Linked DNA regions of Tribolium castaneum. The protein of the gene in region 1 purifies or fractionates together with the protein of each later gene. This does not show direct contact. Links are inferred from orthologs where the notes say so. Each region holds a gene or a part of one and is shown on either strand. Other genes may lie near its edges.

The links. Proteins that work in one complex are often made in the same cells at the same time.
Region 2: the proteins of Raf (region 1) and raptor purify together in Homo sapiens (affinity purification with mass spectrometry; 3 studies listed by BioGRID and IntAct, with this or other methods). This does not show direct contact. The link is inferred for Tribolium castaneum from reciprocal best matches to the Homo sapiens genes BRAF and RPTOR.

Annotation. Positions count from the first base shown.
Region 1 is NC_087400.1:7,671,113-7,675,565, reverse strand, and holds the end of Raf (raf homolog serine/threonine-protein kinase Raf), read right to left. Parts: intron 1,920-4,453; coding exon 594-1,919; 3' UTR 454-593; downstream 1-453. UniProt on the Homo sapiens protein: Protein kinase involved in the transduction of mitogenic signals from the cell membrane to the nucleus. Phosphorylates MAP2K1, and thereby activates the MAP kinase signal transduction pathway. Phosphorylates PFKFB2.
Region 2 is NC_087399.1:3,462,993-3,466,211, forward strand, and holds part of raptor (regulatory-associated protein of mTOR), read right to left. Parts: intron 3,166-3,219; coding exon 3,065-3,165; intron 3,011-3,064; coding exon 2,493-3,010; intron 2,436-2,492; coding exon 2,361-2,435; intron 2,314-2,360; coding exon 2,056-2,313; intron 2,005-2,055; coding exon 995-2,004; intron 949-994; coding exon 599-948; intron 1-598. UniProt on the Homo sapiens protein: Component of the mechanistic target of rapamycin complex 1 (mTORC1), an evolutionarily conserved central nutrient sensor that stimulates anabolic reactions and macromolecule biosynthesis to promote cellular biomass generation and growth.

The DNA of each region.
Region 1 (4,453 bases):
TTATACTGTTTTTGTTAGTCGTTCACAACGCCAAGAAAATGGCAACACTTGCCTTCAATGAAAAACCCATTTTAAATTAAAAAAATAATATCAAATTGTTTCTGCTGTCCTAATGATCAGTCAGAAAATCGTATTTACTGTTGCGACAAACATTATTCAACATGTTTTTAATGGGGAGACAGGAAATAATCCAAATAAGAAAAAACAATCACTACAGTTTTATGAACTTATTTAATTTGAAACTTAAATTCTGTACCCTGGTCCAAAACCAGGAATACGAAATAAAATTGAATCGAAAATTTTATCAGTTTTTTTTCGGATTTCAACAAAAAGTTTCCAAAGTCTTGACTTTTCAGTCCAGTCAAAGGTTGGAACACTGAATTTGGAAAGCAAAGATAGATTTTCAGAATCTTCGAATTTCGTAGGATGGGATGGAAATAAGTAAACGCAGTATATTTTTTTAAGAATTTATTTAATACGAAAACAAAACAATATTTAAATTTAAATACTTGACAATAACTTAATGATAACCTCTACTCAAGCCGTATCACGCACTCTCACTCGTCCTAAACGTCCCTCTTGGCGCCCTCCCCTCAGATATTACCCGTTCCTCCCGAATAAAAAAAACTCGACGGTCCGAACGCCACCGGTGTTTTCGGACTAGCACACGGATAAATAAAATCATCAGACTGGATCTGCGTCCGATTCATGTTCGGTTCGGACGCCGATCTGTTAATTTTCGGATGACTCCTCAAAAGTCCCTCCAACGAGGCATGAATCTGCCTGAAAAGCGGTCTCTCGTCCCGATTGAACTTGATACAGTCTTCAGTGAGTCGTCTTAAAGCTTTGGGTGTGTCGGAGCGTAGTTTACTCATGTCTGGTTTGAGGTACCCCCTCCCCACCATGAACAGGATTTGGTCCTTGTTGTTGATGTGGGAGTAGGGCAATTGCATTGCCAACATCTCGAACATAACGATCCCGAACGCGTAAACGTCCGACTGGAAGCTGTACGGGTTGTCCTCCTGCATCCGGATCACTTCTGGCGCCATCCAGAGGATGCTCCCCGTCGGCTGGTGGAACTGCTTGGAGCCCGACCAACGGATCTTGGCCGTGGCTAAGCCGAAATCGCCGATTTTGACGGTTAGGTCATCGTGTAGGAAAATATTATTCGATTTGAGATCTCGATGGATGATATTTTTCGCATGGAGGTAGTCCATTCCTTGTGCCGTTTGTCTCCCGATTTCGATCAAAGTAAAAAGCGCGAATTTCGTCTCGTGCACGTGGAGATGCTTGTACAAGCTCGAACTCTCGCACCATTGCGTCACGATCGCCAACTGCGGCTTACTAACACACCCCATGAACAATAAAATGTTCACGTGTCGCGTTTTGCGCAGTACTGCCACCTCGTTCTTGAAGGCTTGCAGTTGTGCCAACGTTGGTATTTTAACGTTGAGCGTCTTGACAGCGACCGGGCCGTGCCAATGGGCCTTGTAGACCGTGCCGAAGGAGCCCGAGCCGACCCGATGGCCGACGAGGATCTCGTCGGCGGGGATCTCCCAATCCTCGATGCTCTCGCGAGGGGCGAGGAGGGGCTTGCTCTCGTCGGCGGAGCGAGCACGGGGTCGGCGCGGCTGGAGGGAGCCGGTGGGCGAGGCCTGGGTGCTGTGGTAGTGGGGGAGGCCGTCGTCGATGCCGCCCCGGGTCAGACTGAGGGACTTGGGGCAGTCGTCGCCGGGGCCCTTCACGTTGTTGAGGCAGACGTTGGGGGCGGAGCTGGAGCGGTCGTGGTGGCCGAGGGTGCCAGGGTGGCGCGGCTGGCGGGAGAGCCCCAGGCCGGCCTGACCTGGGTGCAGGATGCCCGCGCTGAAGTCCGGAGAGCGGGCGAGGAGCGCCCGGTAGTAGGCGTCCGTCATACGAACCTGGGGAAGCGAGATATTTTTGGTTCGACGTCAAAACGCAAGGGATGGGAGAAAATGCAGCAAATCATTCCGAAAAGCAAAATTTTGCATTCCATTTCTTTATTTTACTTTGGATAATGCCACAGACTAGTCCACGTTTATTTAGTAAATTCGGCAATCATCCAACTTCCGATAAATATTTCCAAAACAAAAAAAGTCCAGGGAGAATCAGGAATTTTGCGAGATTCAAATAGTGAATGTTACGACACTTTCAAAAATAACTCCACATTGTTTAATTGCGTAGGAAAAAACTTCTAAATTAAGCCAAATTCAAAAAAATTACAAAAACCTAGTCAGGGATTTTGTAAAGGACGAATTCCGAAAAAGCGAACAATTTTTCAAAAAAATTAAAGAGAAATTCAAACTTCCAAAGACGTAAAGTAAAAAGAAAACACTAGAAGTTAAAACAAACAAAAATTGTATTGAGAAGAATCTCCAAAAAATGCGAATATTCTCGTCATACAAATCCAAATGTAACATTTGGAACATTTTGGAAAACAATAAAACACAATGCATTTTCTTATCTAAAGTTTATTGCATGATTTTCATGTATTTGAAACATTCCATGGCTTTATCACCACCGATTGATATCTAAATTGATGCCGATATTAACTTTGAATTTATTTTATAAAAAATAAAGAAAATGCGTAATTTATTATTGTTTAACTTAGATTTATTAATACAGGGTGCTCAAAAACTGGCGCACCAACTCAGTGGTACGTTATTGAGAAGCAAGTGCAGATTACGGGAAAAATGTTGAAAAAATTGCTAAAGTTATATTTTAAAAAATCTGGAGCTACAAACTTATTGTGTTAACTTCTTTAGTTTTCATTATTTTTTTATGTTTTTATGTTTCACACCAGGTAATCGTTCCGTAACAAAACGATGAATAATTATTTTAAAATTTACTATAAGATTTTAGCAGTTTTTTTAATTTAAAAAAATTAAATTTCATCCAAAAAATCACAATCTGTAGATGTGCCAACACTGGGAATTATTTCCTAGGAAACCGTTTCAAAAATAATTTATTTTTATTGCGATCATGACTGTTAGACAACGTTGCCACATATCATTTACCTAAAATTAGTTATTTATCAATAACTTTAATACAAAGAATTTTTTTACTACTTTTACCTTTATATGTAACCACTTATCTACCACACACCATTGAGTTGGTGCGCCAGTTTTTGAGCACGCTGTATATTTTCAAATATGCCTGACTGAAGAGAGAGAGAGAAAAAACAAGGATGAATTACAAGAAAATACAAAGAAAAGTCCAGTAGGAAGAATAGAAATAACCAATGAAATTTCCCAAAGAATTTCATGTCACGAAAGTGTTTTATTTTGTTTCAACTTTTCCAATTTTTTTTACCGTGTTTTCTTTTTTTTTCTGTCACATTAAAATGAAGTAAACACACTTTTTTATTTTCATATTGCATAGCTACATACCAATCTAGAGTAAATTTAACTCGGATTTATAATCTCGTGCTGCCAATTAGGAAAATTTTAATGAATCAAATTAATACAGCTTTCAGTTTTTTGAATTTTTGCACATTAAAATGCAGAAATGAAATAAAGACACTTTTTATGTCAATACTGCATAGCTACATAACAATCTAGAGTAAATTTAACTCAGATTTATAAACTCGTGCTGCTAATTAGGAACATTTTAATGAATCAAATTAATACAGCTTTCAGTTTGATATTTTTTCCATCAACATGTGCAACTAGAACATTCAACTAAGTATGTTACGTATTTTTGAAAATGTCATACAAATTACTAAAACAACAGTAGATTTGCGATTATTATTTGTCGTCGTTACCTTTTGCAATACGAGAAGTATTTTCTCGCGACGTTATTTTAATCATTTTGCGAATGTTCGTAAACAAACTGGATCGTTGAATTCACAGCAATTTGCAGTAATTAGTCAACCGACACCTATGCGCTCTGGCTTTATTCATGCTCAAATAAACACGGCTACGATGAATCTTATGCCTTTTCAATCCAGCTGTTTACCGTTTTTAATAAAACAAACTAATTTCTTGATTCGCCAGATTTATGCGCTTCACTTATAGTGCGTTAATAATAACAACTTTTAAAAGTTAATAAGGATATTTAAGCTAGTGTTGAAAAACTTCCATTGCAATCTTGTAAAAGACGATTACTTAAAGCAAAATATACAGCTGGAATATAAATCATAACTTTGATTTAAGGCGATTTTGGTAAAAATTCCCGAAGCAGGTCAATTTTTATGTTTCCTTGCCTACTATTTGATGCATATGGTTTTTGTTTATCTGCTGTCAGAAATGCACAGCCACCTCTAACTTCTTGTTCAAATGTTAATGGTATGCCAAGTGACACCTCGTATGAAAGCCTTTTTCGCAAGCAATACAACGCACTATTTCTTTTTTAAATTTTTTCAAAGCATACGTGATAAAAAATAAAAACCAATTTTATAAGTTGAACATTATTTAATGCAACAATTGTTCAAAAT
Region 2 (3,219 bases), on another chromosome or scaffold:
TTCACTAGCCCGAAAAATAACTTATTTAACCGGAATCTTTGAATGCCTTACTCTTTATCCAAATATTTAGCTAAAAAATTTCGTTTTTTAAAGATAAATACTACTCAATACTACTACTTAAATGGTAAAAGCTACTAAGTTAGGTAAATACAATTTCAAGCAGTTTTCAGTACAACAGCAATTAATTAATGAAATATTAACATTTACGGGATAAATTTATGTAATAACGCAAGAGATAGGGCCAATCTAACTAACGATTAAAAGTTATATATTAGTGCAAATGTATTCTTTGCTAATTAAATTATAAAATATAGTTTTTTTACAACTACATAAGTAATTTTTATTTAAACAAATAGAATATAAGCGACCGTCTTTAACACATTTTGTAGATGGGAAAAGAAATATTCTATTGCAGTTACTGTTTATAAAAAAAAAATTTTGTTTATTAGTTTAGACAAAGAATTGCTGAGTATTTAAATAATTCTAAGCGCAAAATATGTAAAAAACTCATTTTTTCAATGGTTGTTTATTATGTTTTTGCGAATAATTCGCCGCATTTTACACAAGAAATTGTAAAATTTGAAGAACAGTTCCTCACCTGTCATAATATCATAGGCAAACAGCTCCTTCTCCACGTCCCAAAACCGGACAATCCTCGAATCCCCTGCCGCAATGCACGTCTGTGTGTACTGCTCCCACGCCAACAGCGTCCCTGAATATTTCCACTTCAAATCATTCAAAGCCTGCCATGCACTTATCAGAGTCGGTTCGCGACTGTGACCCGTATTCGGCTTCCAAACTTTAACACTACCATCGTCCGAAGCCACCATCAACATCGCCACATCATGGGCATTGATCCACTCCAACGAAGTGATCCGACTAGACCCAGCCTTTGCCGACTTATTATGACACACTGTCGTCTTAGCCCCAGTCCCCCAATCCCAAATCCTAAACCAACCAATCAAACAAACAAAACTACAAAAGGTAAACAAACCCGAAATGATCCTTCCCAGCCACTGCGATTTGCTGGTCAAAGGGGTGAAACTGGAGGACACTGGGCGGGAGCGAGGTCCTAGTGTTGAACAACTGAGATTCGAGTTTTGACGAAAGGATACGCGAAGTTTCGTCCAAAGCCTCCCGTCTTATATTATTATTCCTGGTGTACCTCCAATCGCGTTCGTAAAATTGGGGCGATTCGACGTCAAAGCCACTCTTTCGCTTCGATTGCGCGAAGCGTTTGCACGACCATTCGATGAACTTCGTACTCACTAAAGCCTTGCGTTGCTTGATTTTCATGTCGGTTTCTTCGTTGATGATGTTGGGGTGGATTTTGCGCCCCCTTGGGGTGTATTTGGGGATGTCGGTGGCGGGGTGGAGAGTTGGGGGGCTTTCGCCCGACAGGTAGTTCCCCCGGTTGGGGCTCGGGGGCAAACTTGCACACTTGTTATCGACGAACTCGCGCGATTCCTTCACTTTGTTTGCTATGTACTTGGTTATAGTCTTACACATTGATTCCACTTCGGGGTGCGGGTCGGTTTCAAGCGAACACAAAGCGTCCCATATTTTCATGTAAATCGAACCGTAGCCGAGGCCTGGTAACGTGCCAAGGCTGCCGGTGTGGCTGAGGGAGCCTTTCATTTGCCCCATGTTGTTTATGGAGGAGCTGGAGGACACCCGTTTCATTTTATCGACACTGTCTTCGGAAGTTCGTAACCGGTCCCGGCTGCCGATTCGTCGCAAGCCGGGCGAAGTCACGTTGACTTCTTGCAAGGGATAGTGACTTAGAATCTCCTTCATTGACAAAGTTATAAACACGTGTTCGAAAGCTAACACCACCCATTGGAGCGCATTTACTAATTCTTTACGGACTAGATGGCTCATGTCATTACTGACTTTCTTAACTAGGGTCATAACTATCGCGTGGTCGATGTTATTGGCGTGTTCCGAACGCTCGGTCACCGAATTTATAAACGTACCTAAGGCGTAAACGGCCGCTGCCCGAACCTAAAGCAAAAAACAATTTTTTTTATTGAAATAAAAAACAATCAGTGTTACCTCTGGGCATGGGTCGTTCAAAAGTTTGTAGAGTTTTTCATGGGCGATGTCTCTAACACCGGTCCAGCGGGCGTTTTCGTAATGATCCCATAATTTCCCTAAACAAATAGCGACCCATTGTCTCAACTGTGAACTGGGGTCGTTCAATTGTTCCAGACAGATACTAACTAGGGAACCTTTCAAGGCCGCTTCTTGCCCGTCGTGGAAATTGTTAACAATTGACGCCAAAACAAAAGCCGACTGTGTCCGATATTCCGACTAAACCGACCAATCAATTCGATTAAAACCACACTGAATCAACTCACCGAAAGTGAAGTGTCCTGAAGTACCGACAAGAAATATTTATGGCCACTGTCCCTCACCAAGTCACCTTGACACGTCTGAAAAACAGTCAGACCAATTATTGACTGCGACCAAACCACCAACAACTTACTTACATTATCAACAGCTAGAATCTTAGCCCAGATGAAAACCAACAAAGGCCTCAACTCCTTAGCACTACTCTGTAATAATTTAAGAACGTATGGGAAAATCCCAACAGACAAGGCCAAATTAACAGCCCACGGTCCCAAATCGAGAAACCGCCCCAACAGTTCAAGCGCTCGCATCCGATGGACTTGACTGAGTAGGACTTGTAAAACAATTGGCAATTGTTCGGGTGGACTGCGCTCCTCGCATCCGAGTTCTAGCCAAACTTGGAACGCGGTCAATTGCTCTTCGAAGAAAGGCAAGTTTTGGAAAGGTTCGTTTCGGTTGATGATTCCGGGAAGTTGGCCGAGGCTCAAGTCGAGGGCTAGGTCCCATGCGTTCCACATGGGGTGTTGGGAGGTTGGTGGTAACAGTGGGGAACTGACGGGAGTGCAATCGCACGATTTTAGGATGCGTTCAGCGAGGAGGAAATTACGGAAAAGGGACGCAACGAGGAGGTCTTGACGGAAGAGTTTTTGAAAAAGATCTGGAATTTTTGTACTTGTATTTTTTTCGAAGGATTTGTGTTTATTTAACCCACCTCTCTGTAACGTATTCCAGGCTATGGTGTCTGTAATTGCTGTAAAGATCCAATTAAGCTCACCGAGCATTGTGCGGCGGTCGGTTATTTGACCCGGTATTCTGGGAAAATGAAAGAAAAAATAATCTTGTCTTTAAGTCTTAAGTCTTTTTAGT